Regions from separate parts of the Mus musculus genome. Here regions 1, 3, 4, 5 and 6 are each reported to be linked to region 2. Evidence: microRNA targets listed by miRTarBase, many of them from high-throughput screens and not tested one by one. Region 2 holds a microRNA gene; each other region holds the end of a gene's coding sequence.
What was found. The annotated mature microRNA mmu-miR-9-5p reads UCUUUGGUUAUCUAGCUGUAUGA and lies in region 2 at 1,881-1,903, shown strand. An mRNA with a match to its seed (bases 2 to 7 or 8) in the 3' UTR can be bound and repressed. Matches are read on the target gene's strand: a 7mer-m8 pairs with bases 2 to 8, a 7mer-A1 pairs with bases 2 to 7 and ends in A, and an 8mer does both.

Region 1 (5,073 bases), not on the chromosome of region 2:
CTTGTCAATTATATATATAATATTGTCAAATCTTGGCAGGATCTCTTGTCAGTCTTACCATAGTGTCCTGAGTCTCTGAGCATCTAGCTCCCTCTGAATATTCCCTGAGTGGATATGTGGGAGAACAAGAACTTAGTTGCGTCTTGTTCCCGATAATCTTTCCAACCTGCTGTAAAGTACAGAGAAATCTTACTGTCTTTGGAATGGTGAAACAGGGGGCTGAAGTGATCAAGGCGCTTCGCTGAGGTCCTACAACCACAGAGTTCAGGATCCAGGGTTCAGATCCAGGTTCTCAGCTGATAGTGAGAGGAAGCATTTTCTACTGAAAACAACCATTTGGCTACTGTCTCATGGGTCCAACTTCCTCTCTCTATGATGCTAGGCATACTGCTACACCATCAATTCACAATATTGTAAACCCCCCGCCGCCCCCCGTTTTTGAAGGGATAGAGTTAAATAATACTGACCAGGGGTCATTTATCCAAAGATGTGTCAGAACTGTGTCTTGAGGACTTGTTATTATCGGTGCTGTGTCTATCTATGTCCCACAGGCCATGCGGATGCAGACAGAGATGGAGCTGCGTATGTTCCGCCAAAACGAATTCATGTATCACAAGATGCGAGAGGCTGCCCTGAACAACCAGCCCATGCAGGTCATGGCTGAGCCTAGCAATGAACCAGCCCCCGCTCTGTTCCATAAGAAGCAGTGAGGACCTTGTTGGAGGGTGGGGGGGCTGTGGCTGGGGAGCTGAGGAAATGACTACTCTGTGTCCTCCACTGTCGTTTTGGTTCAATTCAATTCAGTTTAGTTCTCTTTCATTTCAGACCAACTCTTCCTACATGTGTCAGGTGCTAGATCCCACCATCTATTTAATAAGGGAGCCCCAAATATAATTGTGCTAGAAAGAAAAATGTAAACAAACAAGGCACAGCATAATAGTAAATGCCATGGTGAGCTCTATGCAGAGGGGTTTGTTTAGGGGAGGTGAGTTTGTGTGTGTATCGGGTGGGGGTAACACCTGAGCTAAGAGTGGCAGGTACCTAGAATCCCAGGTGACTGCTTGTGTATCTGTGTAGGCATCTCTGGGGCTGCTGGTCTCATCTACAGTTATGAATATTTAGGTTTTGCAGACTGGGGTGGGTGATGTCCTGAATCCTCAGGCCAAAAGTGTTTGACCCTTTGAGATATACTCAGTGATGCCTAGAAAGATGCAGGGATCTTGGGATCCTGTGGTCTTTACTCCTAATCAGAGCTTGAAGCATAACTTTAAAATAACTCTAGAACACACATAGAAGGAATTTTTCCCTCCCTGGTCCTACCCACCATGCCTGTAGCTCTTTATGATGTTGAAGAAAAGCTGAGTTTTTCCTGGCCATTGACTTGTAAAGCTGACTGTGCATGCCTGCCAGTGATGGACCCATCAGAAGTGGTGTGTAGGGGCTTCCAAGACTGAGAAGTCTGCCTCAGCCTAGGCTTCATCATTGGCCCAATGAGGCTCTACTCATTGTATTGAGTGACTGTTAGTTCCTCTGCTTAATTTCTTTATCCTGTCTGTGCTCTGGGGGCTTCTCCCCTTTCGTAAGGCAGTTCACCTGGCCTGGATCTCATTGGAGAGTGGCCAGTTTGCTCTCATTTACTTGGAGGCTGACTTCCAGCTGAGAAATGAAGGCCCAAGAAGTGTCTTTTAGTTTCTGGAACCCCAACTTTCACACCAACATGATGGGAAATCATGAAGTAAATTCTTTTGGTTGAGGGTGTCACCAAAACTTCTACGAAACCTTGTGCTACCACTGACATCTCCCAGAACTCTAACATCTTGAAGTCACATGATTCCCACTAAACTGCAATTTATTTCTGCCTAAAATGTTAGTTTCTCCATCCCCAGCCTTTCATCCCAGAACAGTACCCTACCTGCCCTTGAGCCCTGCCCAGCCTCTGAGGCCTATGATGCGGGCACCTCTTTGTAGAATATTAGCACTGACCCTTGGTTCTTTTTGAGGATTTGTTCTTCTCTAGAAGGCTTTATGAAGACTGACAGTGAAGACCATGCTCAGTATAAACTTACAATGGGGGGGGGGGGGGGATGACAGAGTGGATCCTTAAAATGTTAAAGGAGTTGTGGCTTAACTGGAGACTACTCACAAACCCTGAGAGCCACAGTAAACAAGCCTAAGAGTTCCACGCACCCCCCTCACCATCTGCATCCACCCCATTTTGGTGAACCAGAGCACTAATCAGACATCTGTCATTGCCTGGTGACTCTATTAGGGACTGCCTCTTTAAAGATCTGAGGAAGAGAACTATGGTGAGGCCTTGACCATGGCCAGAAGGATTTTCCTACAAAGCACTTTATTTGCAGAGTGTAAATTCATCATTAAGTACCTGCCGTCTCCTGGTCAAGTTCAAACTCCAAAGTTAAAAGATTCACAGCAGATGCTCTGTTCTCTCTCTGTGTCCTCTCGTGTATGCCCATTTTCACTTTACCTGCTTGCAAAATAAATTCCCTTGGATGCTCTCGGACCTCCTGTGATTCTTTTCTGATGTAGAACACTAGAAAATTGTGGATTCTTAGCGTGTATGTAAAAACTGATCCAGGACCAGTGAGATGGTTCAGTGTGGGTGAGTGTGCTTGCTACTAAGTCTGACAACCTGAGTTCAACCCCAGATCCTGTGGAGTGGGAGGAGAGAACATATGCCTGCAAGTTGTCCTGGCCTCCACAAGTGCACATGGAACCTGAACATCCCCTTCCCCAAGTACATAATTAACATGTAAAATAAACAGATAAATATCAAATGACTAAAAGACAAAGTACCCAGAAGGCCCACCTGCAGCCACCATGCCATGCAGTGTGGGTTGGGGAGGAAACCCAGAGGCCTGCCTGCCCACAGTGGGAGCCACTACGATGTGTGCAAGTATGTGGTAGACAGTATACTCACACACATACAATAAATACGTCTTACCCAAAAAAGGGTCAGGGAGGAGAGAGTTGTAAGTTTCACGTCGTGCACCCCAATCCCACTCATTTTCCAGTCCCTTCCTATCCGCCCTCCACCTTACAACCTTCCCCTAAAAGAAAACAAAAGACAGGAATAAAATAAAATAATAAAAATATAAAACAAAACAAAAGCATCTCATTATGGAAGCTGTAGTGTGTCACAGTGTGTCCCACAATTTATCCTTTTGTCCACACATTTTTACTTGGAAATTTTCATTGCAGGATCTCCATAATTCAGGGCAGCACCAGGATATCTGAGAGGAGTGCTGGTGAGGATGCAGGGTTGATGGGAGCCAGAGGCCTGGAACCAGACCGATGACTCACTGCAATGAACATCTGAGTACACTGTACTGTCTTCAGACACACCAGAAGAGGGCATCAGATCTCATTACAGATGGTTGTGAGCCACCATGTGGTTGCTGGGAATTGAACTCAGGACCTCTAGAAGAGTAGTCAGTGCTCTCAACTGCTGAGCCATCTCTCCAGCCTTCCTTTACACTTTCAAATCACCTTCTTTACCCTATTGCTGTCAATTATGGAAAAAGAACAGAAAAAAAAAAAAAGATCAAAAACAAGGAGAAAAAACGGTAACAGCTATTTTGTGGACATACTTAAGAATGTGCATTAGCCAGGAAAGTGGTCTCATAGGATGAGTGCCCCTGTTGGGAAAATGTCCATGGCCTACGTAAAAGGCTGTGGAATTAGTATGTGTGTGCGCTCACATGCTGCTTGGTGTGTGTGTTTGCAGGTGTGTTGGGGGTGGCCACTGAAGATAGGATGGACCAAGGGAAAATCTCAGAGCCCATCAACAGCTGTTTGTTAAGGCACTAAGTTCTCTGGGCACCTACACAAAATCCAAGTTCAGCATCTCCCAGGGCAAAAGCTCCTCACCCCAGAGCTACTCTCAGTGCACGATCCTGGTAGGAAACATTTTGGGAAATGTTTGGTTTTGTTTTTTGGTTTTGTTTTGTTTTTTTTTTTTGTTTGTTTGTTTTTTGTTTTTTGTTTGTTTTGTTTTTTTGAGACAGGGTTTCTCTGTGTAGCCCTGGCTGTCCTGGAATTTGCTCTGTAGACCAGGCTGGCCTTGGCCTCAGAGATCTGCCTGTCTCGGCCTTCATAATGCTGGGATTACAGGCAAGTTCCACCACTGTTTGGCTCATTCTGGGGAAATTCTATCTGATCCCTAGAAATTTTGCTGAAAAGCCTTCGAATTATTTCCCCTCGCGTCAAAGTCAGAGAGCTTGGTTGTCAGCTTGACAAAGCGAATCTCTTCCCCTGCATGACACTCAGCTTGGTTGCTTTGGTGATAACAGTTTCTGTCAATGCTCCAAATATCACACCCTTCCAGTCCTGCTCTGTTGCTGTGCCAAACACCACGACAAAAGGAAGGAAAGGGTTTGCTTCAGCTTACAGCGTCTAAGTAGCTGTCAATCACTGAAGGAAGTCCGGGCAGGGACTCAAGGCTGGACCCTGGAAGCAGGAACTGAAGCAGAGGTTCTGGAGGAAACACTGCTTGCTCTCTCTGGCTTGTGCTCAGCCTGCTTTCTTATACAACACAGACTCTCCTGCCTAGGGATTGTGCTACCCACTGTGGGCTGTGCACTTCCAATCATCAGCCAACACAGTTCCCCACAGATGGGCATCCGGTCCAATCCATGGAGACAGTTCTTCAGTTAAGGTTTCTTCTTCCTAAGTCACTAAAAGTTTGTGTCAAGATGATAACAAAACCAGTTATACACACCCTTTCGGCCACCTGACACATACACACCCTCAGGAATTCCAGAAAAGCATTTGCTTTGCAAATCATTTCATGGCTCCTTTCAAATGACACAAGACAAGAAATTGCACTATGCCCCAGTACAGGGGAACAACAGGGCCAAGAAGTGGGAGTGGGTGGGTAGGGGATCAGGGTGGGGGGAGGGGATAGGGGAATTTCAGGGTAGCATTTGAAATGTAAATGAAGAAAATACCTAATAAAAAATGGAAAAAGTTAAAAAAAATAACTTCAAGTCTGAAAGTAAAGTGGTGAACATCGTTCAATATTGTATGTAAGCCTATGGGTCATCTCTGCTTTAA
Region 2 (5,073 bases):
TGGCCAAATTCTGAGTCTCAAAAGCAGCTAGGATTCTGTGGTTATCTGCAGATAGGGTCAAGGAACATTCCCCTGAAATGCAGAAAAGAGGGCCCCCTTTGCTCGCCCATTGTCTCATAGCAGGAGACTCAAACTGCACAGTCTTCCCTTCAGTGAGGGTTTGAGTTGAAAACCTTGAACAAAAGAGACCCTTGCCTCTCCTAAATATTAGGATCACAGTTTGGGAGGAATTAGAACTCAAAAAGACTCTAACGGTGGGGTGAGGTGGGAGGGGGTCAGAGATAGAGTCTCCAGTCCGCATCCCTGCCTCAACCTCCTGGTGCTGAGATTACAGATCTCTTCTCTTTGAGGGAATTTTGCCCTATTTATTTTCTATTTTTGCGTGCTGGTCTTGGTGCAATGTACCGTAGAGCCCAAAAGGAAAATGTAAGATCGACAAGAAGAGCGAAGGTGGCCATCAGAACCGCAATTGGCAATGGATTATAGACGTGGCAGGCGGGTTGTAGATGAGGCAGCAAAAGACTAAGGATTGGCATAAAGACATTGGATCCCATTCTCTGGGGGAGGGGCACCCCAATTGCACGTCTTGGACTGGCCTGGGGAGGGAGGGGGTCGGGCATGGAAAGGCTGGGGGGGAGGGGGGGAAGAAACGAGACAGTGACGTCAGACCAGGTATAGCCAATCAGGGGCTGACCTGAGGAAGGAGTGTGAAGGGATGAATGAAAAGTCCGGAGCCTGAGAGCGCCCCCGCCAGAGCAGCGGCCAAGGCTGAGGAGAGAGCTGGGACTCGAGACCCTGCTCCACCCTGCTGGCTCTCGCTCGGCCCCATTACCTGGCAAGCCCCGGCATCCTTGACCCACGTCCGTGGCGCTGCCTGGGTAGGAACGCGCCTGAAGACCGCGCAGGACACTACCACTGGGCATCCTGGGTTTGATGTAAGTGGCCTGACCCGCGTGGGGCACGAGGTGGGGAAAGCGCCTCAGAGTCCAGCGCGCGCGTCCGCCACCTGCGACCACGGAGCTCTACACCCTCTGCACGGTCCCTGGACCTCCTTCCAGTGGGTTCAGTCCAGATAGCCCCCTCCAGCCACTAAGGGCATCTCTCACTCAGACCCCCAGTGGCATATTTCACATCTCTGAATGATTTCGGCTGCGTTTTGCACAAAACCGGCTCCCGCGCGGTTCCGTAGGTCCAGGGCTCGGAGCACCTGCCTGGTCACCCTTTGCCCTAACCCGCAGCCCCACGTCCTGACTGCTCGCCCGATTCTCTCTGGGTGGGGTCTTTGCCCTTGGGAGAGTCGCTGGGGAGTCTCTAGATCACCCTCCACCCCGCCGCCAGCCACAGGCTTCCCTCTGGGCCTCGGGGTTCCCCAGTGCTGGGGTTCCCGTCCGGGGCTTCGCGGCCGCTCCCCTGCAGTCGGTAGCTCGGAGCAGCTCTGCGAGCTCGGCTCTGCCGCACCCCGCGGAGCTCACACTCGACCTTCCAGAGAAGGGTGTGGACACCGTGGGAGGTTGGGGAGGCCTCGGCCTAGGCTTCTGCGGTCTTCCCGGATGGCACGAAGGCCCTGGAGCCTTTCCACTAGCACCGGCGGAACCCTGCTTCTGCACGGAGGAGGGAGTGGGAAATGGGCGGTCAGGCTTGGGGCCGCTTGGTTTCAGCCTAGATTCCCGACCTCAGAACCGTCGGCGGTAGCATCTTTTCCTCGCCTTTCTGAGGTCTCGTCGTGATAGTGCGTGAGGTCCTGGATCCCATCTTTTCGCCTCCACACCACGCGCGTCCCCCATCCGCCGTCGAGCGACTCGAGACTACGGAGGTCCAGGCGGTGGCCGGGAGGCTGCGTGGAAGAGGAGGAGGCGGCCAGGAGGCGGGGTTGGTTGTTATCTTTGGTTATCTAGCTGTATGAGTGGTGTGGAGTCTTCATAAAGCTAGATAACCGAAAGTAAAAATAACCCCATACACTGCGCAGAGGGCCTGGAACGCTGGTAGTGGCCGAGCTGCAGGAGGGAGAGCCGTGCCAGGCGTGCCTGGAGGCTGGAGGGCTGGGGGGAGGGGGACTCGTCGCCTTCAAAGGTTGCTCAGCCCGAGCCACCTCGCGATCCCCACCCGCAACCTGCTCACCTGGGAAGAAAGCAAGAAGCCGCTCTGGGGTCGCCTCTGGAGGCCTGGTCAAAATGGAGCAGTCTGGGCCTCAGTCCGGAGAAGCCGCTCCCGGGAGAGACAGAGCCCTTGGCTGAAGGGTTGGGGGGAAAGTGCAAGCATCCCTCTCCCGGTCTCGACGCATCCCGGGAGCGGGTGGCTGGTGTGAGCAGCTTCCCTCTGGCTCTTCGAAGCGACTGGTGGAGTTCGAGGTTCGTAGGATGTCTCTAGAAAGCTGGTTTTTGCTTTGGTGGTTTCCCTGAAGCCCTTCAGCTTTACTGGGAGTCAAGATTGCCCAGGTGGGAACAGGTCTAGGAGCGGGGAAGGCTTAAAAACCAACACACACATCGAACTTATTAGGGAGAATGGCGATGCAGAAACAAAGTAACCACAAGGGCAAGGGCCAGAGTGGCCAGAGACCTTTTTACCCCACAGGAATTCTGGGACCCTGGGGCGCAGGTTCTTTGCTTTCACTTTGGCCTTCAGGACCAGAGCTAAGTCTAACTGAACTCTCTCTGGCTGCTTTGTCATTAGTGGCTAAAGGTGTAGAGTTGGGGTGGGGGGCTTTAGAGCATCCCACCTTTCGGTCCTAACCTCACTCTTGGAAATCGTGTCCCAAAGGAACAAATGGCCTCAAGGAGCTCTGTGGAGCTCAAACACAAAGGAATGTGTAGCTGTGCTGCCCAGAGAACGCAAAGAATTAGAGAGATTAATTTGGGCTCCTGTAAAAAGAATCTATTTATCTTGCCTGACCTAAATATTTTAGTGAAAGAGGGTTTCTACAGCTGAGAAGATGGTCTAACAAACATGGCCAGAGCTAGGAATCCCCTCTGCTCTCATGGCCCTCAGCCGAACTTGACCAGCTGGCACTTGGAGACCTGGGCTGTACCGACTAATAAGAGGCAGAAAACTGGGCAAAATGTCATCACCCAGACTCCGCTGGTTCTTATAAATTTAAAATTTCCTCCCGGGACCTGATTTTACAGTTAGAAGATAATGATTCAATTTTGTATTACATGGGGGGAAATATTAGAGAATCCAAATTCAAATTCTGGGACTTCAGGGAATCTATTGCCTGTGTGTGTCTTCTTTAGCAGTTAGGGGAGGGAGAGTCGAGTGGCCTCTTAAATTCCAGAAGCTTGGAATTTGTTTTGTTTTGGTAGGGGTGGTGGGGATGAAGCTTAAGTCAAGGAGAAAAGAGGCTGGGTCTAGGCTGGAACTAATGGTCTGGCCACAGCCTGTTTTCTTTTTCCGCTGCTTGAGAGATGCCATGTGATCCCATGTTACACAGGCACAAGTGAGCAGCTGACATTACTCACTGGCTTGACACTCAAAGCTCCTTCCATTTACTCTGTCTTGGAGAAAGTGACACTCCCCACCCCAAGGGAGCCAACTGGGAAAGTAGAAAGAAGGGAAGCCTCTCTGTTATTGGGAATTTGCATGGGCAGAGGAGGGGCATCAATAAAATAAGCTTCCTTATCATTACCATCTTTAATGTTTCCTGTATAGTGTCTTCACTGTAAATTCCAGGACAGCCAGGGCTACACAGCCCTCTATCATAGCACAGGCCTATAATCTGAGCAGTTGCAAAGTAGAGGACGAAGGATCAAGAATTCAAAGTCATCCTTGTCTACACAGCAAGTTCTTGGGCATCCTAGAGTCCCCCTAAACACACACACACACACACACACACACACACACACACACACACACACACACCACATATTCCCAGGAACACTTAGAGTCTCAGTTGCTAACCACAGTAGTTTTATATTATTGTTTCCCATGAGCACATTGGATCACAGGCTCTTCAAAAGAGAGTAGAAGGCTTTAGGAAAAGGAGGAATAGAGGCTAGGAGGTTAGGCTGCTAAGGGTTCATGTCTTCTTTAGATGCACACTGACTGTGTATGTGTACGGTACTCAGCAGGGCAGCAGGTGCCCTTTGTGAAGTCCATGTGCCTAAGGGTGAAGAGAGGGAGGCAGCCTGTGTGGATTGGTATAAGGATGTGTGCTGTGCTAGGAAACTCAGCTGGGACACTGGGGATGCTAGAATGTGGCCAGGCAAAACCACAGAAAAGAGCTGGGGTTTATTAAATGCAGACATCACAGTGATACCAAAGTCTCCTCCTCCTCCTCCTCCTCCTCCTCCTCCTCCTCCTCCTCCTCCTCCCCGTCCTCCTCCCCCTCCTCTCCTTTGTTTTAATTATTTATTTTGTGTCTGTGGTTATATATTTGTAAGTCAGAGGACAAATTATGAGAGAGCCTGTTCACTCCTTTAACCCTGTGGGTTCAGGAGATGGAAATCAAATGTCAGGTTTGGTGGCAAAGACCTTTATCCAGAGATATCTCCATGGATCTCTCCTTTTTTTTTTTTAGAAAGTGTTGCCCAGGCTTCCGTGGAACTGATGACAATTCTCCTGCTTCAGCCTCCCAAGTGCTGAACTTCCCCTCTTTATATCATATAGCACCCTCCCTACCCAGCTAAACTGTGTAGGAGAGCTCCTTTGGTCTGAGTTCATGTTTTGTCCACTTGAGAAGTCTCCTTTGTTTAAAAACTGCCATTTCTATTCTTCAGTCTGCTACACACACCAGACTTACTGGAAACCAATTTCACATCTGGTTTCAAAGATGTCTGTCTCTGCGGGTGTGTTTTGCCTGCATATGTCTATGCACCATATAGTAATGCCCTCCAAGGCAAGAAGAGGATGCTGGATCGCCCTAGAACTGGGGTCACGGATGTTTGTAGATGTTGAGAATTGAAAACTGGATCAGTACAGCCAGTGTTCTTAACCACTGAGCATCTTTCCAGCCCCTCAGCTGTTTCTGTGACCCACGTTTTTCAAGCCCTTGCCCTATGTCCTTTTGCAGGGCTCTCAGTATACGCAGCTGAAGGCAACTTTCTTACAAATATTTCACTCCAGTTTTGCATGAATCCA
Region 3 (5,073 bases), not on the chromosome of region 2:
CTCTGACCCTACACTCATGGGCTGTGGCATACATTCCCACATATGTACCAAGAAGCCATAGGGAACAGGGTCTACTGTCTGATTGTGGAGCTGAGTAGGTCTTGTTGGGACTCAGACCATGTACAGTATACAGTGTCCTGGGTCTGGGTCTGGGTCTATAGCACTGGGCAATGGCAGGCCACCTACGGCTCTTTCCTTATCCACAATGAATGTCATCAGAGGTTTGGGGCTTTTGGCAAAGAACTTTCCAGCCAGAGCCAGTGGACACTTGTGGCATGCAGGAATACGACTCCTCTACTCTCTTCCCTGACCCTCTAGCGGAAGCTCAATGTGGTGTCTGCCTTACAAATGATGACAAGGTCCTGGACATGGAACAACCTAGAAATGAAAGAAGCCTGGGCTCTGCCTGGCCAGGTGGGGTGGATCACCTCTCTCTGCTGACACCTGCCAATTCCCCTCCAGAGAGCTGACCCTCAGCCACCCAGTTACAAAAGCCTGGAGAATAAAATGCTTTGAAACCAGGTGATATGCACCCAGTTTTCCTGGTTACTTGCTGTGCAATATCAAGCAAGCAACACTACCTCTCTGCATCTGTTCAACTATCAGAAAGACGTTCATTCCTTATATGATGCTTTGCCAAGAAGATCCAATGAGAGAACACAAGCCAGAGGCCAGCATAGGCTCAGTGAAGAGCAGGCCTTCAGCAGAAGTCAGATCCCTGCCTTCCCAACTCCCAGTAGCCTTTGTTGTTAAGCTGCTGGCAGGCTCAAATCAGCCTCCACCAGGCCATGACGCAGGCTGAAGATGTTCTCCTGAGTGACGGGCTCAAGGAGAGAGGATAGACAAGTACTCCATGTTCAGAGTATGGGCCTCTCTGAAACTTGACTCTCAGGGCTCATTTTAGAGGCCAGGAGATTGGCATGAGGTTCTCAGGCCAGCCTCAGTCTCTCCAGGAAGGGCAGCCTAACAGCTCATTCTACCCTGTCCTAGGTGGAGATGTCTGCAGGGGAAATCTCCCCCTCCCCCCCCATCCCCTCACCCCACCCCTGTTAACCTCATTCTAGTGCCAGAACTGTGGGAGCAGAGAGGAGTAGAGAGAGAAGAGGAAGGAGGGAGCATGGAGCAAGGGAGAGGGGAAGGAAGAGGTGGCATGGAGCTAGCAGGTTCTGGGCTACACTGATTTGTGTTGTGCTCATCTGACCCAGATGCCTGCCTACCTCCTGTATGTGGATGGTGTTTGCTGGGATGTTATTTACTCAAGGTCCCGCATGGAAGCTATGCGATGGTGGCAGTAGGCTAAGCTCTGAGGGGACACACTGGGGAGAACACTTTCCCATGTAGCCAAGACAGTGACTGTAACAACAGGGAGAGATCACTTCCATATTTCATTCTACAAAAGACATGATGGAGAAAGTGCCCAAGAGGCTTGTGCCACACTCAGACCCATGCCATGTGAGGCCAAGTGCTAGAGAACAGACATGTAGAAAGGTGCTCTTCACACCCCAATACAGTCTAGCCTACTTTGCTTGCAAGTGACCCTATAGGGATTGTGGCCCCCTAGCTGGGCTCCTGGCCCTGTGGGTCCTTTGTCTTATTCTCTGATCTCCATCTGCAGGCCCTGGCAACCTGCTGTGCTCAAAGCCACCTGCCAGGATGAAAACCTTTCTCCCAGACACACCACGGTCCCAGAACACCATTCACATGTCAGTTATGCCTCTTGGACAAGCAGTTGAGTTCTGTGCCAGTTGAGAAAACATGGGCCACAACGGTGTATCATGGAAATGGACAGGAGGGTGCTTGAGGTGGGTTAGCAGCAGCCTCCTGCCTTTCTCTTTGCCCAGAGAGGCACCCAGGCACATTAAGCATCATTTATGGGGTCATTCATGATGCGTCCAGCATCCCTGCCTCCAGGTGCTGTCCCCAACCACATTCCATCCCTTCTCAACTTGGAAAGATTGACTGTTCTTGCCATTCAGAAAGCTGCCTGTTGTCACACATTCACAGATGCTGGTCCTGCCCCAAGCTGGCCTTCTAGATGGCACCGCCTACCATCCCTATGGATTTTCCGTCCTGTGTCTTGAAAAGTGTGAGCAACATCTCTGGCCCCTCCCAGTAGAGATGTGGAGCAATCCCATCTTTTCCATTATGTAAAGAAAGCAGACTCATATTACCAGGCTGGTCACTGTAGCAATCCTCCTGCCACAACTGGACAACAGACACATGTCACAGTATCTGACTCCTCGGCCAGTCTTGATAATCAATGATCATTGCAGACAGTGCTGCTAATAACCACTCAGGGCACACACTCTGGCAGGCCAGGCACAATCTCCTTATTTGGGTTTCATCCTCCAAATTTTGAACTCAAAAACAACTGTTGTATGCAAGGAGGTCTTGACCCAGACAGAGGCCCCTCCCAGGGAAATACAGGAAGTAAGCATCAAAGGCACAGCTAACAAACCAACTTTAATTGATAGTGTACACAGAGGTCCAGGCAGTAGAGCTTGACCGGATGGACCAGGCCATAGACTTGCCTGGACAAGTACCTGGTATACTCAGGACTGGGGCTGGAGTCATTGTAGGACAGAAGCAGGTGCTGAAGCAATTGTGCTGAGCAGCAGGTGTGTGTATGGAGTCTGGGCTGGGCCTGGTGTGCAGAGCAAGGGTGACAATGTGCACAGTATCCACAGATAGCCTCAGTGATTGCTCTGAGGAAGGCATATGTAACATGATCCAAATCCCGGCTACTGGGAGCTCCAAGGAGACAGGGTATGACGTGGTGTGTATGGAAGGCCCATGGCCGACCCAGCTTGCAGGGAGTGACCTGGGCCTTGAGAGAATGCACTATTAGATTGCTGTGGTTTCTGATAATCATCAGCTTCAATAATTCATGGGGGGGGGGGGGCGCGCTAGGGGTACCATGATGGATGTGTGGAGGTCAATGGATGACTTCTCTCCTTCCACCACATGGAACCCCGGGACCAAACTCAGGTTGAAAGCTTGGCAGCAGGTGTCTTTACCCAGAGTCATCTCAAATGGGCCAGCTGCAGTACTAATAAGACTAAAGCACAGATGCATTAAGAGGTGGTGAACAGGACCTTTGGTTTTCAGGGTCACCCCCACTCCTGTGTACCTAGCATAGCCTGAACACTAGGGTAAGTCCTGCAATATGTCCTTCCAACCTTTCCTGGACTCGGCTCTGGCTCTCAACTGCTCCACTTCCTCCAACAGCTGTGTGCGCAGAAAGGGCACCATGGGAGGGCAGAGGCCGGAGCTGGGGACACACAGGACCCCTCGCTCTCTGTTGCCTAGCACACAAGGGACCAGTATCAGGTAGGTGCTTGGCAGATGTTTAAGGAACTAAAGCAGAAGAAAGCTGCATCTAGTCAGAGCTCTGTCCTGAACTAGTTAGGAGTGCGGAGGGGGTTAGAATCACTCTCTCAAAGCTCAGTCATCCTCTCCAGAGGGCAGGAGATTACTGCTGTGACTGTGGCACTGTGGGCTCTTTGTAGGCCGATGGACACTGGGCAGAACACAGCCTGCCTGGGAGCAGGGAGGGAGACCCCGGCCAAAGCAATGGATTTGAATTGGGAAGCCCGGTCAAAGACAAAGCATTGGCCTCTTACAGTACAAGGACTTCATGTCTACTGCAAACAGAACAGGAAAGACACTTCAAAACAAAGAGAAATATCGTATGGAGGAGCCTGGGAGTGGAGCCAAAAGGCAGTGATCTGGGGGACACCGGTCTCTCTCTCTCTCTCTCTCTCTCTCTCTCTCTCTCTCTCTCTCTCTCTCTCTCTCTCTCTCTCTCTCTCTCTCTCTCTCCCTTTCTCTCTCCCCCCTCCACTCAAGGTCATGATGGCCCCAGGGGCTAAATTGGGGGGCAGTGTACACAGCTGGGCCAGACGGCAGGAGCTGAAGACCCAGGATGGTGGTTTCTCCAGGGACACTGAGACCAAGCTGGTCTGAACAGAGGGAGCAGAGGCCACCAGGGAACCTGGCTGGGGCATCTGGCTAAGATGTTCTCATCCTGTGACTTGTACTGAGCATCTTGCTTTGATGCAGGACTCCTGGCCTTTTTGCATCCCTCCCACGGAAAGCTTGTCTCGGCATGAGTGCTGTCATGTCCCTAGACATGTCTCCGTCCTCCCACAAAGGAACCACACTCACGGCTCACAGGAGGTGTCCAGGAAACAAGAGAATGGGCACAGGGTACACACCTAGGGCCCTCTGTGGGATGTGCGCAGTGGGAATCCTCAGCCACCTCCCTTAAGGCACTGCCCAAGCCCCCTCCCCGATGTCCCTGCCTCTCACTGGATGCTACACTTGTCCCTCTCTCGGGCCTGGCCCTCCCGTAGGACCTTGGCCTTGATGTACTTGAGGTCACTGTTGACACTGGGGCGTCGGGCAAAGGGTGAGACCATGCCATAGGCACCTGCGACCTTAGTGCGACGCATGCAGAAGGGCCGGGGGTGAAAAGCATCGCCGTACTGCACGGAGATCTTATGGTGCAGTGCAGGGCTCATCTCATGGGGCAGCTTGGCCATGCTGAACAGCACATAGAACATCTCATTCACATTAGTGTTCTTCTTGGCTGACACCTCGAAGTAGGCGCAGTTTTCATCACCAGACACCAGCAGCTCAGCCTCCATGGCAGGGACCTGGCGGCACAGCTCACTGTGGTCATTCTTGTTCCCACAGATCACCATGGGCAGCTCTGCTGCCTCCTTGGTTTTATTCTTCAGGCAGGACTTGACCTCCAGGATCTGTTTCTGGAGGCGCTTGACCTCATCAAAGGACTCCCGGCTATCCAGGCTGAACACCAGGATGAAGACATCTCCTGTGAAGGGGATGAGGCAAGTAAACAAGGGCCAGGATGGCCTGGTGTCCCACTCAGCACAGGTCCCATCAGCTGCCACCTAGGAAGCCTGCAAACCCTGACCCGGAGGCTCCTCCAGGCATCTGCTATCACTGTCCCCACTTCCCAAAAGAGGGAGCCAGGGTTCAGCAGGGGTTGTGAGTAGTGAGGCACACCCAGGTGGACTCAGATATGGTCAGTCCCTGTCCTGTTTTCTT
Region 4 (5,073 bases), not on the chromosome of region 2:
TCTGTCTTTTTTTTTTAACTTGTATGACTATGGGTAGAAGAGTTGTTTACTAAAGCACAAACAACTTCTTAGTGGCTACATCACTGAAGAAAATGCCTCTCCCCAGTAGGTCCTCAGACAAGAGTAGGGCCTCATGAGCTCCTACCACATCCATGGTGGACTGAAAGGCGCAGTCTTGTTCAGGTCTGAAACAGCTTCTGTGCCGTTGTGATCAATGGCCAGACAGCATTTCATGGCACACCTCCACGTCTTCCTGCTCCTATGGTCTTCCTATTCCTTCTTTGATGTTTCAAGAGTCTTAGAGAGGGAGGACTTTATCTGTCATGCACACAATAATTCCTCCTGTCATCTCAGTGTTTATGGAGAAAGTCTTTGATAAAGAAATGCGTGTATATTTCTTAAAGTGGTAGCCGCAGTTGTGCTACAATAGTTCTTAATAGTTCTAATCTTTAAATATTTTAAACAGATTTTAAATTATGTGTGTATATGGTCGTGTCTGTGTGCCTGTGAGTATAGGTGCCTTCACTGGCCAAAAAAAAGGATATCAGATCTACTGGAGCTGGAGTTACAGGTGGTTGGGAGCCATGTGACATGGGTACGGGGAACTAAACTGGGGTCTTCTGGAAGTGCCACAAGCACCGTTAACCACCATCTTTCAAGCCAGATTTTTAATCTTAGTTAACATTAAGCTGGTGGAGATGGGTGTGATGGTGCATATCTTTAAGCCCAGCACTTGAGAGGCAAGTAGATCTCTGAGTTCAAGGCTAGCCTGGCATACAGAGTAAGTTCCAGGACTGCCAGGTTACACAGAGAAACCCTTATCTCGATCCTTCCCCCAAATACACAACAATTGTGAAGGACAAAAACCTCATTGTCTCTTGTTACTATTTTTCCCTTTAGAGGATCTTGGCCCTTTTTGGAAGCTAGATACTGGAAAACAGCTTTGCCCTTATTCTCCCTAAAGTGAAAGTCACCTGAGCCTTCCCTACATTAGATCTTTCCTAATCTCCCCACCTGGTTAGACAAGAGAGCATTTCTTCGTGTTCTTTTGTGTTTGTGTAGAGGAGAAAAGGAAGAACCGAAAGGCTGGATCCCTCATCTAGCACGTTTAGCTTTAGACTTTTGAATACTTTTTATTCTCCACTGTTAGTTTCCTGGGTCCGGGAAGTTGGAAAGATTGCATGCTGGATGGGAGCCAGAGGGGACAGCAGCCGCAGGTTGTAAAGCATAGCAAACCCAGAGCAAGTGGTCTTCAGAGACGCTTTATTGACATGAACAGAGAGACTTTATTGGAACCATGTGCTTGTGCACTAGTGTACACACACACATGTGCGCGCACACACACACATGCTTGCACACTTTTACAGACCTAAAACCAAGGGGTCTAACTAGAGCCTAACCTAGTGCTCGACACAGAGAGTGTTGAACAATGTGAGTAGATGATCAGAATGATGCGTAGGCACACCAAGGTCCTGGTTACATACATTTGCATTGACTGAGTGAATTCACAGAACCAGGGCTTTCTCATTTATAAAACAAGTGAGAGGAAGGTCTCTGTCTCTCTCTCTGTCTCTCTCTGTCTCTGTGTGTGTGTGTGTGTGTGTGTGTGCACGCACATGTATACATACACAGACACAAGCGTGTGCATCTTTATGTAAGTATGCTTATGGGCCTTAACTTGTGTGCATGTATATGTGGAGGCCAGAAGTCAACCTTGGGTGTCATTCCTCAGGCACTATCCACCTTGTTGGTTTTTTGGTTTTGTTTTTGGAGACAGGGTCTCTCACTCTCCTGGAGCTTGCCAAGTAAGTAAGTTTGGCCTGGTGACCTGGTTAGCGAGTCTCAGATCTTCCTGTCTCTGCCTCCCCAGGTCTGGGATGACCAATGTGTGCCATAATGTATGTCTGGCTGTTCACATGGATTCTAGAGATCATACGGAGACTCTCCCGCTGGCGTGGCAAGCACTTTACCTATTGGGCTATCACCTTAGCCCTTTCCACTTTTAAGCCCACTGCTATCTTTCTCAGCATAATCTTGCTCTGAAAACTTCCCTTTCTACTTGCAATTCTATTTTGATGTCTAGAGCAAACCCAGAAACTCAAAAGAAAGCATGGGTGTGCAGTTAATTGAGAGTGGAGGAACCAAAGAATAATGTGTAAACAAATTGAAAGGAAAGCCTGAGATAGCAAGCACTGAGTATTTCCACTTAGGGACTGGGGCTTGATCCAACACCTAGCTGACACTCCAAGTCAACAGGGCAAGATGCTTTCAGGCCCAACCGAGTAACCAAGTTCACAGCTGTTAGACAGTAATAAAGGGGAAATTAGACTCAGCTTAGTTTGACCTTCAGTAAATTATTGAGAATCAGTCACAGCAAATACCCAGCACCAAGACAAACAGTGGGGTTTCTAGAGGATTATAGCCCTTGAGAACTCTTCTAAGCCCTTTAGTAAGCAGTAGCACACCAGGAAAGGCTCCAGAGCTGCGCACGTCTAGTCTGGGATTCAAAGTAGAAGGATGGGAAGAAGATGGAGATGGTGAAGATTTTAAGTTGGCTGGTGAGTGCCATACCTTGTAGGTCATAGTCATGATCTCCCATAAGCAAATGCAATTGTGTTTCTGGATAAACCCCCATGTACAAACAAACCAGATAAAAAAGAGTGGGATGGGAGTCCCAAGGCGGATGTCTGGCATCCACAAAGAAGGAAACGGTGTGGGTGAAAAGGGAGTTTGCCATACAAAGCCCGATGGGGGTGGAGAAGGGTCTTTCTTATAGAGCTCCTCAGAGTGAGGACAACTCTCTTACTGAGTCTCACTTGCATCTTTTTATATACCATAAGGCCTCCTGCCCTTGCTATCTGTAGGGGCTAAAGAATATTGCACTTAGAACAGTCATTAAAAAAGAGATATTGACTAAGAATCTTGTCACTTGTTCCCTGCTCTCTTGGGTGGGGATGAGGGTAGGGGTGGGGGACTTTACAAACACCAATACCCAAACATGACATCTACAGGTGAGGTATTTAGAAGCTACACACCTATCTTTGTCTCTTTGTTCATTGTCCATTTCAGACTAAAAACATTTTTTGCCATATAGCTATTGCCCTCAGGTGCCATGTCTCTTGGAGGATGCTTCAGATTCACAAATCTTTGTGTGAAATCCTAAAGTCTGTCTCATGTCACCTGTAGCCTCTGCTGGACAAATGCCATGCTTCTGCCCTGCTGATTGTTAAGAGTCCTCAAAAACATCTTTCAGCTTAGGGAGTGTAAGAGTGGAGGCATGAAACTCATCTCTCGGCCAGTTTAATCCCCTCAATATCCTGTTCAGCCTTGTGTGAGTCTCAGATGCCTCCTGTAAAACGAGGACTAATACTGATCCACAGACACTGAGAAATGAAGAAGTGAGGCATTTCAACCCAGAAAATTCACTCATCCGTGTTTCCAATCTCGGGAGTGTTATATCGCTTTCAAAACCTACTGAAATCGTCCTGGATGCTTCCTTGGCTTCTTGGAAGTTCTGGGTTTGTTCCAGGCCTTTGGGATTATGGAGACATAGCCTCGAAACACTGAGCTCCAGAATGTATTCCAGTGCACACAGAAGATGTCTCTGGAAAGTTTAGGGGCGGGCATGCTGCTCTCTTGTGTTCTAAGAGGCAGGAAAAGAATGACTTCAATGAATCAAAGTGAATGCCACACTTTGGCTTTTAAACAAACTAATCAGGGCTTCCTTCCAATATACATTCATCCTTTTGCTGCAGTGAAGGACAACCCAATTGCAGACAGGACACAGAGACTACTACTCTCCAGTACTTATCTAAAGTCATTTGGAGCACAGGGGACAACTCTAGTTGAGTTGGGAGCTACTTGATTGGAAGCAAGGATAGAGTGAGGTTTAGTCCATGGAGAGATGTTGGCTCTTCAGTTCAGGCAAGGTCAAGATGTATAGGAGTTCTGATAGAGTCCGGAAGTCAGGTAAAAATCTCACAGTTGGGTGGGTGGTTGGTGAATAGAAAGATGGATGTGTTGGGACACCTGGGGCACTTCCTGATGTTGCTGGCATTGCTGAACTGGGGATAGCCAGTTGCTCAGCACTCAGCTCACCCACCAACAATAGAAGAACTCATTGAGAATGTCCAGGGCAACCCTCTCCAAACACATACGGAGGAAACAGGGAACGAGAGAATTATTGTGCCTTTGCTATCATGAGCAAGGGGTTTGGTTTGCTCAATATTCAGGCCAAAGTGATTCAGCTTCTGAAGGGTTTGATATAATAGAGAGCATTGTGATGTGACCATTAACGTAGAGTACCCGAAGGACGAGATTGCTACAAAAGGACCAAATTGAAAGTCACTTCCATTGTAGATGCCAAATGCCACCCACATCCACCTTACCCTCCCAAATGCCTGTACATCACCTCAAGTCACACCACTTTATTCCTCCACGGGTACCACAGAGTTCTCCTTGTTCTCTGAAGGGATAGCAAGGTAGTCAGACCTGCAGAGGGCATGGGAGAGGGAAAGAAGCGGTGCCTTAGTAGTCATTGGTGAGTGTGTAGGAAAGGCATGTGACCCAGGAACAAGGCTCTGTATAGAAAGCCTCTGTATTTCCCAAGACAAACGTACAATTAGCTTCAGCAAATAGAGTAATATCCCCAGCAGCAATATCTGACTCTTTTCATCATCTTCAGGATGAAGACTGTATTTTGACTAAGCTGAATGGGTATGAATTTGTATTTCAAAGTTGCTTTAATTTTCATCTTCCCTTACTGGTGAGGTTAAGAACATCTCCATAGGTTTGTAAGCTGTCTCGTTTTCTCCTTCTATAGTCTCATGATTTGTTTTCTTGTTGCTTTTCTGAAATGTTTGATTTTTTTATTATTTCATATTTGGAATATTTGTCCAAATCTGTTGCTAATAAGTTTTCCTATAGCTTCTTATCAAGAACAATTGATGGTTTACATATAATGTAGTGAAAATTAACTTTTTTCCATCTTTGATTTGTACTTCTGGTATTTAAGAATTTTTTTCTATAAAACATGATGCTTTAAATATGAATTCTTATTAAACTACAAGAAGA
Region 5 (5,073 bases), not on the chromosome of region 2:
CTTGTGCCCCACATGGGCCAGTCACTGTTGAGTCCTTTCTCAAGAAAGACTGCAACTGTTACTTCCCAGGTCATTGTGGGTCTGCTAGGTTCAGTGATGGCATGTTCACATCTGTATCCAAGGAAGTTGTTATCTGGCAGAGGGGCATCCTGTAGTGTTGGGCCACTCCTGCCTACAGCGGTATTAGAGACTCCGTGAGACCAGCTTTCATTAACTTTAGCCGGGTACAGCGGGCCTGAAGCACTACATGCACTGCCTTTGGGAGTGGGCCTGCTCCTTCCTTACCCCATGAGGAGCCCTGTCTGAGGCTTCCTGGGCAGACTCAGCAGTAGGGGCCCTTCCCAGTCGTCTCCTCCCCTTGTCTTGGCATCAGTTGTTTTCTATGAAAACAGTGGGTTGGTTTTGTGAAGGGTCTTGGGTTAGAACCACAATGGATTCGAGGAGTTTTTCTTTTGGTTTTGTATATTTTGTACATTAATAATAAACAGTGGAAAGAGAAGCAGCTCATTTAACCCCTGGTGTGTTTCACTTCTTTTAGTAAAAGAAAAGCTAGGGCTGTAGAGCCTGCTTGGTGGCTCTGCTGGTTGGAGCAGTTGCAGAGGCCTGGGGTTCAATTCCCAGACCTCAAGTGAGAACTCCAGTTCTCAGGACGTTGTGTGCTGGCTACTTTTATGTTACTTTGACACAAGTTAGAGTCACCAGAGAGAGAGGGAAGCCTCAGTTGAGACAATGCCTCTATGAGATCATCTGTAGGGCATTGTCTAAACCAGGGATTGCCAGCCCATTGGTGGTGCCATCCCTGGGCTGGCAGACCTGGTTTCTACCATACACATAAAATCTAAATCTCTTCCACTCAGAATAAAAATGTTAGGGTGTGGGAGTGGTACTCCTCTCTAATCCCCACACATAGGAGGCAGAGTTCTTTGCACGCCACTATCAACAAACCTCAACAACCAACCAACCAACAACTCGCACATCAGGGTACTCCCACTTATATGCCCTCTGTAACGTTTCCAGATCTCCAATTGTCACACAATCAAAAAAACTATCTACAGCTGTCAAAATTGTGCGCCTGCCCATTAGAGGAGGCAAACCCTAGTCAGCTGCTATGAAGCAGCCCCATATCCCTACACCTGTTATTAAAGCAGAAAACTATATATATAATTTATTTTGTATACAGCGTTCTTCCTGTAGGCCAGAAGAGTGAACCAGATTTCATTATAGATGGTTGTGAGTCACCATGTGGTTCTGAGAATTGAACTCAGGACCTTGGGAAGAGCAGGGAGTGCTCTTTAACTTTGAGCCATCTCTCCAGCCTTATTTGGTTTTTTGAGACAGGGTTTCTCTTTGTAGCCCTGGCTGTCCTGGAACTCACTTTGTAGACTAGGCTGGCCTGGAACTCAGAAATCTACCTGCCTCTGCCTCCCAAGTGCTGGGATTAAAGGCGTGCGCCACCACGACGGGCCCTATGTTTTTAATGAAACCAAAACTCCAAAATAACCTGTCACTACACATTAGAACAATGACTAAGACAAAATATTTTTATCTATGTGTATCCTTGTGGAGTTCTGTGCTCGAGGGCTGGTATCCTTGGATCCCCTGAAGCTGGAGCTACAGGCAAGTTTGAGCACCCAACATAGGCGCTGAGAACGCAGATCTTCAGGAAGAGCAGAAAGGACTCTACCACTGTGCTATCCCTTCAGCTCATAAAATTTTGATTTTCAAAAATGTGTAGAACGGGCTGGAGAGATGGTTCAGTGGGTAAGAGCACTGACTGCTCTTCTGAAGCTCCTGAGTTCAAATCCCAGCAATGCATGGTGGCTCACAATCATCTGTAATGAGATCTGATGCCCTCTTCTGGAGTGTCTGAAGACAGCTACAGTGTTATTATATATAAATCTTTCAAAAAAATATATATATTAAAAAACGTGTATGAATGTGACTGTGTACACGCATGTCCTCTCACCCCCTTTGTGTCTGTTTTGTCAGGTGGTGGTGGTACACACGCATTTAATCCCAGCACGAAGAAGGCAGGGCAGGTGGATCTCTGGGGCTGAGGCCAGCCTGAGCGAGTTCCAGGATAAGCAGGGACACACAGAAAAACTGTCTGGGGAAAAAAAAGATGTGCTTTATGTTTAAGAGTGTGTGTGTGTCCGCGTGTATGAAAGTGTACCCCTGGAACTGTACTTACAGACAGCTATGAGCTGGACCTGGAACCACTTGTGAGAACCACCTTCGAGTGCTGCAATGGGCCTACATGATCAAGGCTGGCTAGGCGTAATCAACCGAGCCTAGCCTGGTCTACAGAATGCCTACTTTGCAAAATCAAAATCCCCATGGTGCTCATTTATAGGAAATATTTAGTTGTCTGCAGGTGTTTAAAATTCTGTTTGTAAAGCTGAGTCGGGGCAGGGCCTCTGCACCCAGGCAGATAGATCTGTGAGCTGAAGACCAAACTTGAAGTCCCAGGGTAGCCAGGCTCCCTTAGACTATCTCAACTTTAAAATGAACTTATGGGGCTGGTGAGATGGTTCAGTGGGTAAGAGCACCGGACTGCTCTTCCGAAGGTCTGGAGTTCAAATCCCAGCAACCACATAGTAGCTCACAACCATCTGTAATGAGATCTGACTCCCTCTTCTGTAGTGTCTGAAGATAGCTACAATATACTTAGATATAATAAATGAATCTTTAAAAAAATAAAATGAACTTATGAATCAAAGGTATGACTCTTAATGAAATTACATTTTTTTCCAGACTCTGGGTGAACCATACTCTAGCTTTTTCTCTTCTGTGTTCCATTCTTGTTTTTCTTTTTGAGGGACAAGTTCCCATCTGTGTTTGAACATGTAACTCTACATACACAGTGTGTTCACTGGGGGAAACTGGTGGAGAACGGCAAGTGTTTAGCAAGTTCCAAGCTAGTTGGGCTTCGTTAGACTGTCCACACCCACCCTTCACATCCAAGTTTGCTTGTTTTTTAAGACAGGGTTTCTCTGAGCAGCCTTAGCTGTTTTGGAACTCAATGTGTAGGCTGGGCTGGTTTTGAACTCAGAGATTTGCCTGCTTCTGCCTTCAGAGTGCTGACACTAAACCACCAGGCTTCACAGGCATGCTCTTGTTATCCACCAATTAACACTGCATAATTTCTGCATTCTCATCACAAGGGTGTGCAAACGTCAAGTGTACAATGTTGAACATTGGTTTGCCCATCCACCTGGTGAGGGCTCCATGGTGGTCAGTTGTCATATCCCTTCAGAGAGGGGCACACTCAACAGCCTGCTCACTGTACCCTACTTTTGATACGAATCTGCTTCAAAGTCCATGTTATTTACTTTGGCTGGAAAATAATTTTTCCTAACTGAATCTATATTCACCTTGGAAATGACATACTATTCTTTTTCTCAATAAGTCATACCTAACAGTTTCTGTCTGTCCCATCTTGCCCTTGTCTCCTTTGGTTCTATCACCTCAGTTCTGTAACAGAGCCACCATGCTGTCCCCTTCTGTAACAAAGCCCGCCATGCTGTCCCCTTCTGTAACAAAGCCCACCATGCTGTCCCCTTCAGGACCCCACTGTAACTAGGGGCTTTAGGTGACATCTACAGTAGAAACTTCTCTCTGGTCCCATCTTCATGCTTTTTCTCTGTGAGGGATGATTTCCACCCAGTGTCTGAGTGGATGAGTTGACTCTGCCAGCTGTGTAGTGATCTACTCTATGTATATCTCTGGTACCAGATCTATGGAAGGGCTCTATTTTCTAAAGGCTTGCCTCAAACTCACTAGAGCCATTAAAACCCTCTCTACACCTCCAGGGTGTGAGTTATAGGTGTAACTCTATCCCAGCATGCTCTGTAGATCTTACATCAGCAGACTGGGTTCCCGAGCAAAGGGTGGAGTGCCATTTCATTCACAGGGTTGGTCTGGTGTCTTTCCCAACCATGAGGGCACAGGGAGGACAAGCACTGGCTGGGGAGGGACACAAAAAGCCCAGGAAGCACCCCACAGGCACATGGTGTCAGCACCCCACTACTTTATTTCCTCCCCTGTAAAGGAGACTTCAGTTCTAGAGTTCTCCTTTCCTGCCCTCAAGTCCCCACGAGACAAGGGACCACAGGCACCAGATCTTTGGTGAAACAGTCCAGGTCTCAGACACTTGCCTCCAGCCCTGAGGTTCTGGCTGTTTGTGTCAGTGAGTCAGTAGTACCCTTCCAAAAGGAGGGACCAGGGTCAGTTCTGAGTGGCAAAGGTCTTGAGACAAGAGGCCACCTTAACTAGGCCTGAGGGGAACCCAGCACAGCAAAGGTCACCTCTTTCTGAAGAGACTGAGCCAGTGTGGGCAAGCCAGCTCAGTTACCTCAAGGGGAACACAGTCCTTCATTGAGAAGGACACAATCCACACGGATGGATGCTCTCACACACATCAAGGCAACACGCCACCTTCATGGCCTATGTGGCTGCTGCAGCTGGCAGCAGCCATGGCAGGCTTCTAGGTGGATGAGGGGAGACGGCCTAGACTCCAGCCGTAGGAGCTGGTTGCAGCAGGCTTCTAGGTGGATGAGGGGAGACGGCCTAGACTCCAGCCATAGGAGCTGGTTGCAGCAGCTTCCAGGAGGGAGCTCAATCCCGAGGACGGTTGACCATGACCTCACCCAGGGCCTCCAACACCTCTCGCTTGTAGTCATCAAAGTCGCCGTCGATCTGACTGACACCCTGCTCCTCCACCACCCACAACTGGCAGTTGGTTTCTGTGATGAGGCGCGCATCGTGGCTGACAACGATCACAGCTTTGGAGGAAGAACAAATCAAGAGAGGGAGTCAGGAGTGGAAGAGGAAGAGGCCCAGCAGCTCCAGCTGCCTCTGTCTGAGCACTTACCCCCCTTGTAGTCGTTGATGGCCTCCCCCAGGGCATCGATGGACTCTATGTCCAAGTTATTGGTTGGTTCATCCTGTGGAGAAGGAAGAGGCCTATGGCAGAGCACTGCAGCAGCTGCATTTCCAGCTCTGACCCGAAAACCCTTCTCTGATTGCCCACTCACCAAGATGAGGACATCAGGCTCCCGACAGGCCAGCTCC
Region 6 (5,073 bases), not on the chromosome of region 2:
AGGTCCTGTCTTGGGCTGGTGATGGCAGAAGAGCTTTGGCCCTAGATGTGTTCAGCAGGTAATGGTGTCCAGGATTCATCACCATCAAAGACAGTGGCAACACATGGCCACATTCTTAAAAGCACCACCAGCTGGAACCTTCAGTGTGCAGGCTTTGTCTTGAGAATAAGCGACACTCTTTTGTTTTCCTTTCTAGTTTTCCTGCATGTTCTTTGGAGCTGTATCTTGTGAACAGCAAGAGTATGCCGGCCACCCCTTGGACAGCCTGGCAGTAGCAAGCGACAGTGAGGAGGACGTGAGTGGCTGAGCACCCATGCTAACGCTCAGTGATAGCCGCGCTGGGCACTTGGCTGCCTGAAGGCCAAGTGGAAATGGAGCAGACTGTCCCAGGATGCCCCAGACTATCAGTGTCACTAAAATCCGTGTGCTACTCGGGGGACAGAGCTGGCAGCATAGGAATGAGCCATCAGGGCTTAGATGCCACTGTTTACTCTGCTGCAGCCTTGACACGTCCTGTGCTGGTCCCTAAAGCAGACTTTCCTCAGCATGGGGCGAGGTGGGGCTTCTGTGCCCGACTGCAGACAGCAGGCATTCCAGTGTATGTGATGGCCTGACAGGTTTTGTTCAGAGTAGAGAAAAGGTTGTGAATAAAGAAACAGTTAACTTTTCATTTTGTGGTCATTTTATATATGATACAATTTTATTTCCCAGCCCTCAGCTGCTCTGGTTCCTGTGCGCTCTGCAGTGGGAGGCAGAAAGCATGCAGTGAAGTCGGTGTGAGTCATCTGCACACAGCAGCCAGAGCTCAGCCTGGAGAGGAACAAGGTAAGGTGGCGGGGGACAAATGCCTGCCCACTGCTCCTCTCAGGTCTAGCTGCTTACGTGTAGATTACGTGCAAACCTGGCACCAAATGCACTTACGTAACAGCTCACGGTGTAGGACGCTCTCACCAAACCTGTGTACAGTCGGTTACAGGCAACAAAAGGAGCCGCTCAGGAACGTGTGCTTGCTGAGTCCTTGGAAAAGCACCAACCTGGAAGGAAGCATCAACCCGGCAGGACTCAGTGCTGCCCACGTGCGTCAGCGGCTTCAGAAGTGAGAGCAGCGTTCTAGCTGAAACCAGAGGGACTGGGTTCTGTAGCTGCTAAGTGAGTCACAGCTACCCACGGGAATCTAATAAAAACCCAACTCCATCCGAAAATGTTCCTCTGTGAATGAAAATGGGCTTTCAAGAAGCTTTTAGTGGAAGCTGGCAATGCCCACCTATCTCAGCCTTGTCCTCTGTCGTAGGCTGAAGATTTAGGAGTCTCATGTTTACACTGATAACTGGATTTCAGACAGTCTTACCGGGCACAGATGGCTGCAGAGCTACTCTGTAGGTCTCCCTGCCGAGGACAAGGCCTGGGCTCACACACTGATGCAGCTCCCAAGCACCTAGATCAGCAGCAGCCTGGCTGCAGCACCAGTCTGCCCAAGACAGTGACACTACGACACTAGCTGCACCCAGAGCTTTGCACTTCCAGTGGAGCACAAGGTGTGCGTGTGTGGTGCTGGGATGGAATCCGGGGCCTTGCACATCCTAGCATAGTGCTCTGCTACCGACCTCCTCCCCCCCAGCAGTGTTTTTGGTAGCTTCTTCACTCAGTACTGTCTGGAAGGCACAACACCCCAGCTACAAAACCCTCTATTTTACACTCAATTGTCAGTCGGTTTTGGTGAATTTCTGAGGAAGGTAAGTAGCTGTTGATAACTAGCCATTCCGGTCCATGCTCAGACAGTAAAGCACCACAGACACAGCTCCGAGGTGCTGGCTCACTGTCAGGCAGACCAAGAATCTGGGAGCTGAGGGTGGGTGTCTCAGTTCCTGTCCATTCAAACCAAAGGAGTGGCAAATAGTATAAATACTATATTTATTAAATATCTTTACAGTTTATTTAAATGTATTTACAGAACTATTCCTGCATAAGTTATATTTCCAACATCGATTCGGGTCATTGCCTCTGGTAGGACGCACGATGATAGTCTCAACAGAAAAGGCAGCGCATCAGTACACACAGACTCAGACTTGCTTCGTCATTTACTCATCGTTGCCACAGACTACCTACTAACAGTTATGTTTTGACATGGACACTGCTTTATTGAGAAGTTCAATTTTGTGATAAATTTACTTTTTTGAAAGAAATAGAATCCAAATGTCTTCTGTTTCATATTATGTTGTTTTATGTTTTTCTTTTCTTTTTTTTTTTTTTTTTTTTTTTGCTATTGCAAATTTTTTTAAATGTAAAACTGTGACAATTTCCAAGAAAGTGAGTGTTACAACTTTGCCAAAGAGAGCTGCTGTACAGTGACACAGAGCCATGAACCTACTCAGACACGCACAGCTTCAGCCAATCTCGCCAATCCCGCCAGCCGCCTCCAAACCACTCCTGCCCTGTTTCCATCTGCTGGCTACTCTATCCAGAACAAAGGCAGCGGCAGCGGCAGCGGTGGAGGGCACTCTCCTGCCTTGGAGCTTATACCCAGTCTCTCCAGACCCAGCCCAACCCAGACACATACCTGGAATGAATTCTCTGTGAGTGAGTAGCCAAGCACACAGATAACTCGGGATACATGACTTGTTCCCCTCACTTCTCTCTGTTTGTAAGACTCTAGCTACTTCATCTCCACTTGATAATTTTATACTTTTTGTGCGCAGGCAGCTTAAGTTCATAGGAAGAAATAAGGTTCTGATATGTTTAGAGTGCACATTTTTAAAACAGAACAAAATAAAAATTTCAAGCATGTGATAAAAATAGTGATTTTTTTATAATACAGTATTGCTTTATAAATATAGATGGAAAAGCTATAAACTTTACTGGTCTTTGGTGCATCCAGAGGGATAAATAATTTGCCATTTGTAAATTAAAACCCAAATTTTCTCTTTTGTTATAAAAGTTCACTCTGTGAGACAAATATGAGTGCTTACATTGCTTGATTTAAAATACAACTCACGCGCACACCAGGTTCCAGATCAGACCTGGCGAGGGGTGTGTGATGGAGCCCCTGGCCTCAGTGAGTGTGAGCAGCGTTTGCTCTGCCTGACCTCTCGACAGTTATAAAATTAAGTGTGTAACAAAAAGGACAGGGAGAAGCAAATGGAATATACGATGTCACCAGTCCACACGCCAGGCCTGAGGAACTGTCACTGAATCCTGACGTCTGCCTCGTGGTTTTCAGTTTACTAGAACAGCCATACTGCCTGTCTGTTTCTTACAATCACTGCTCAGAAAAGTGAGTTGACTAAAAGTAAGTTGTATAAAACACACCAATCTACTTTTACAAACATTGGTTGATGGGCTAAATGAGAGCAGAAAAAAGCCAGTGACTTGACCAGCTCTGCTCTTAGCAGGAATTAAATGTCGGCATTGGAAAATTAATGCAAAATATATCCAGATTGTAAGGCTACAACACCTCTGACCAAGAACTAATTACAAACCACACAGAAGAGCTGAAGTCCTCAGTCCTAGAGTCACACACCCCATCTGGATGCAACCTTACTGTTTTAAACACAGACACTGCAAAGAGTTTGTGCAAAATAAATACCCACCACGTGCCCCTCACGCCCCAGGATCAACAGAGTGCGACATCTCCTTATCCAGTCTCCCTCCATACCAGAGAACTAACTCAGTGTTGTCAGGTTAGGGGAGTTAAGGCATTCTGACATGTAATTAAAGGTGATTCAAAATAGGAATCTAACATTATGCCAATTTAGGAATAGTAGATAAATTACTGAAGAGCTTACAAATGAGTAACTCATTCTCATGAATGAATGCCTGTTACAAGCATGATGCACTGAGAGCACTGACATGTACATGGTACATGGTAAACAGTTTAAATAAAACAGAGACAGCTACTCAAATATACAAACGCACAGACAGACAAAACCTTTTAAAAACAAGTTGAGGTAACCTCAAACACAAGTTCAATGCAGTAACCAGGGAGCCAGTGTCTCCTGCAGAGGAAGGGCTGCACGGCTGCTCACACCATCTTCACACCAGCGTCATCTGACTTGCACAGAAACACGGCTTTAACTTAAGGGTTTCTAAGTATATACGGCTTTTCTACCACCAAGTTAATGAAGGAAAAGAACGGACCCAAAAATATATATATATCTTTACAGCAGTCAATTGTACATAAACCTTAAAAATAAGTTTGCGCTCGCAGGTAATGGGGAAATCTGAGAAGGAACGTTACCTACTGCAAATGGCTATTGGAACTGTAAACATTAAGCTGGACTCAGGGCCCCACACTCAGCTGCGGTCACTGTGAATGTCAGGTCACCACTAGCTTTCCTGTGGGCTCTGGGAGCTGCAGCCACCACACCATCACCTTGAGGACACAGCGCAGGTGGGGCATGCTCTAAGGGTGGGAGGCTCCTGAGGGAAGGAGCAGGCTGTCCACAGCCAACCCCATCCCAAGCTGCAGCTGCACACTCTAGCCCTGGAAGGCCCGTGGCATCTTACAGGCAGCACGGACGACTTCAGCTACAGCATTTGATTCCCAGGCTTTGAGGAGTTCTGAAATTTTGCGTGGTATTTCCATTACTAGATTTTGGTAAGGAGTCTCCTTCCCCTGTCCCTCTCCTGTGGGCCAGGCCTCTAGCCTGTGACCTGGACAAATCAACAGACTGCCACAGCTGCAGTCACAGGGGCACAATTAAGCATCTTTTAAAAAGCACAAAATATCTGCATCCATAGAACAAAAATTTTCTTCCAATTTGTGACCAAAACCGTCCGCTGCTGGGGTTGGGATGTCATGACCCAGCACAGGATAGAGCAGGACTGTGGGCTCCTGGCAAACAGAAAACACAAAGCCCCAGCAGTCCTCGCAGAGCCTGCGCCTGGGGGACACAGGGCTTCTCCTGGGATGATCCGCGTGTTTTTTGGCCGAGGTGCCGCTATTTACTACTTGTTGAATGTTAACATCCCTTTAACACACTGACATTTTGAGTTCACTTTACCAACATTACTTCTTTTCAAAACTTCAACTGCTTTTGAAAAGTAAAAGACTTTGAAAACCTCCAGGAGAAGGGA

Region 1: the mRNA of Smyd1 is a reported target of mmu-miR-9-5p. The part of its 3' UTR that is shown has no 7-base or 8-base seed match.
Region 3: the mRNA of Rasd2 is a reported target of mmu-miR-9-5p. Seed matches in the 3' UTR shown: 7mer-m8 at 3,096-3,102.
Region 4: the mRNA of Scn3b is a reported target of mmu-miR-9-5p. The part of its 3' UTR that is shown has no 7-base or 8-base seed match.
Region 5: miRTarBase lists Abcf1 as a target of mmu-miR-9-5p. Seed matches in the 3' UTR shown: 8mer at 4,123-4,130.
Region 6: miRTarBase lists Rad9b as a target of mmu-miR-9-5p. Seed matches in the 3' UTR shown: 7mer-A1 at 2,326-2,332.

Annotation. Positions count from the first base shown.
Region 1 is chr6:71,211,388-71,216,460 of GRCm38, reverse strand. Smyd1 (SET and MYND domain containing 1) reads left to right here. Exons shown (of 10, transcript NM_001160127.1): 10 at 552-2,521. The coding sequence ends at 710. Among named protein-coding and RNA genes, the nearest start is that of Fabp1, 14 kb to the right of the region's middle.
Region 2 is chr3:88,213,733-88,218,805 of GRCm38, forward strand. It overlaps Mir9-1 (microRNA 9-1), which reads left to right and starts at 1,866; the gene lies at 1,866-1,954. The region is part of intron 2 of Gm3764 (predicted gene 3764); the gene reads left to right. It overlaps Mir3093 (microRNA 3093), which reads left to right and starts at 1,439; the gene lies at 1,439-1,525. It overlaps Gm25641 (predicted gene, 25641), which reads right to left and starts at 1,938; the gene lies at 1,881-1,938.
Region 3 is chr8:75,221,483-75,226,555 of GRCm38, reverse strand. It overlaps Rasd2 (RASD family, member 2), which reads right to left. Exons shown (of 3, transcript NM_029182.1): 3 at 2,443-4,837. The coding sequence ends at 4,308. Among named protein-coding and RNA genes, the nearest start is that of Rasd2, 10 kb to the right of the region's middle.
Region 4 is chr9:40,287,792-40,292,864 of GRCm38, reverse strand. Scn3b (sodium channel, voltage-gated, type III, beta) reads right to left here. Exons shown (of 7, transcript NM_001083917.1): 6 at 4,412-4,491; 7 at 1,247-4,321. The coding sequence ends at 4,428. Among named protein-coding and RNA genes, the nearest start is that of Scn3b, 21 kb to the right of the region's middle.
Region 5 is chr17:35,952,806-35,957,878 of GRCm38, forward strand. It overlaps Abcf1 (ATP-binding cassette, sub-family F (GCN20), member 1), which reads right to left. Exons shown (of 23, transcript NM_013854.1): 21 at 5,037-5,073; 22 at 4,874-4,946; 23 at 4,014-4,784. The coding sequence ends at 4,618. It also overlaps the pseudogene Gm8801. Among named protein-coding and RNA genes, the nearest start is that of Mir877, 5.5 kb to the right of the region's middle.
Region 6 is chr5:122,321,103-122,326,175 of GRCm38, reverse strand. Rad9b (RAD9 checkpoint clamp component B) reads left to right here. Exons shown (of 13, transcript NM_001382853.1): 11 at 197-295; 12 at 712-825; 13 at 1,952-2,953. The coding sequence ends at 780. Pptc7 (PTC7 protein phosphatase homolog) reads right to left here. Exons shown (of 6, transcript NM_177242.4): 6 at 1,895-5,073. Among named protein-coding and RNA genes, the nearest start is that of Rad9b, 31 kb to the left of the region's middle.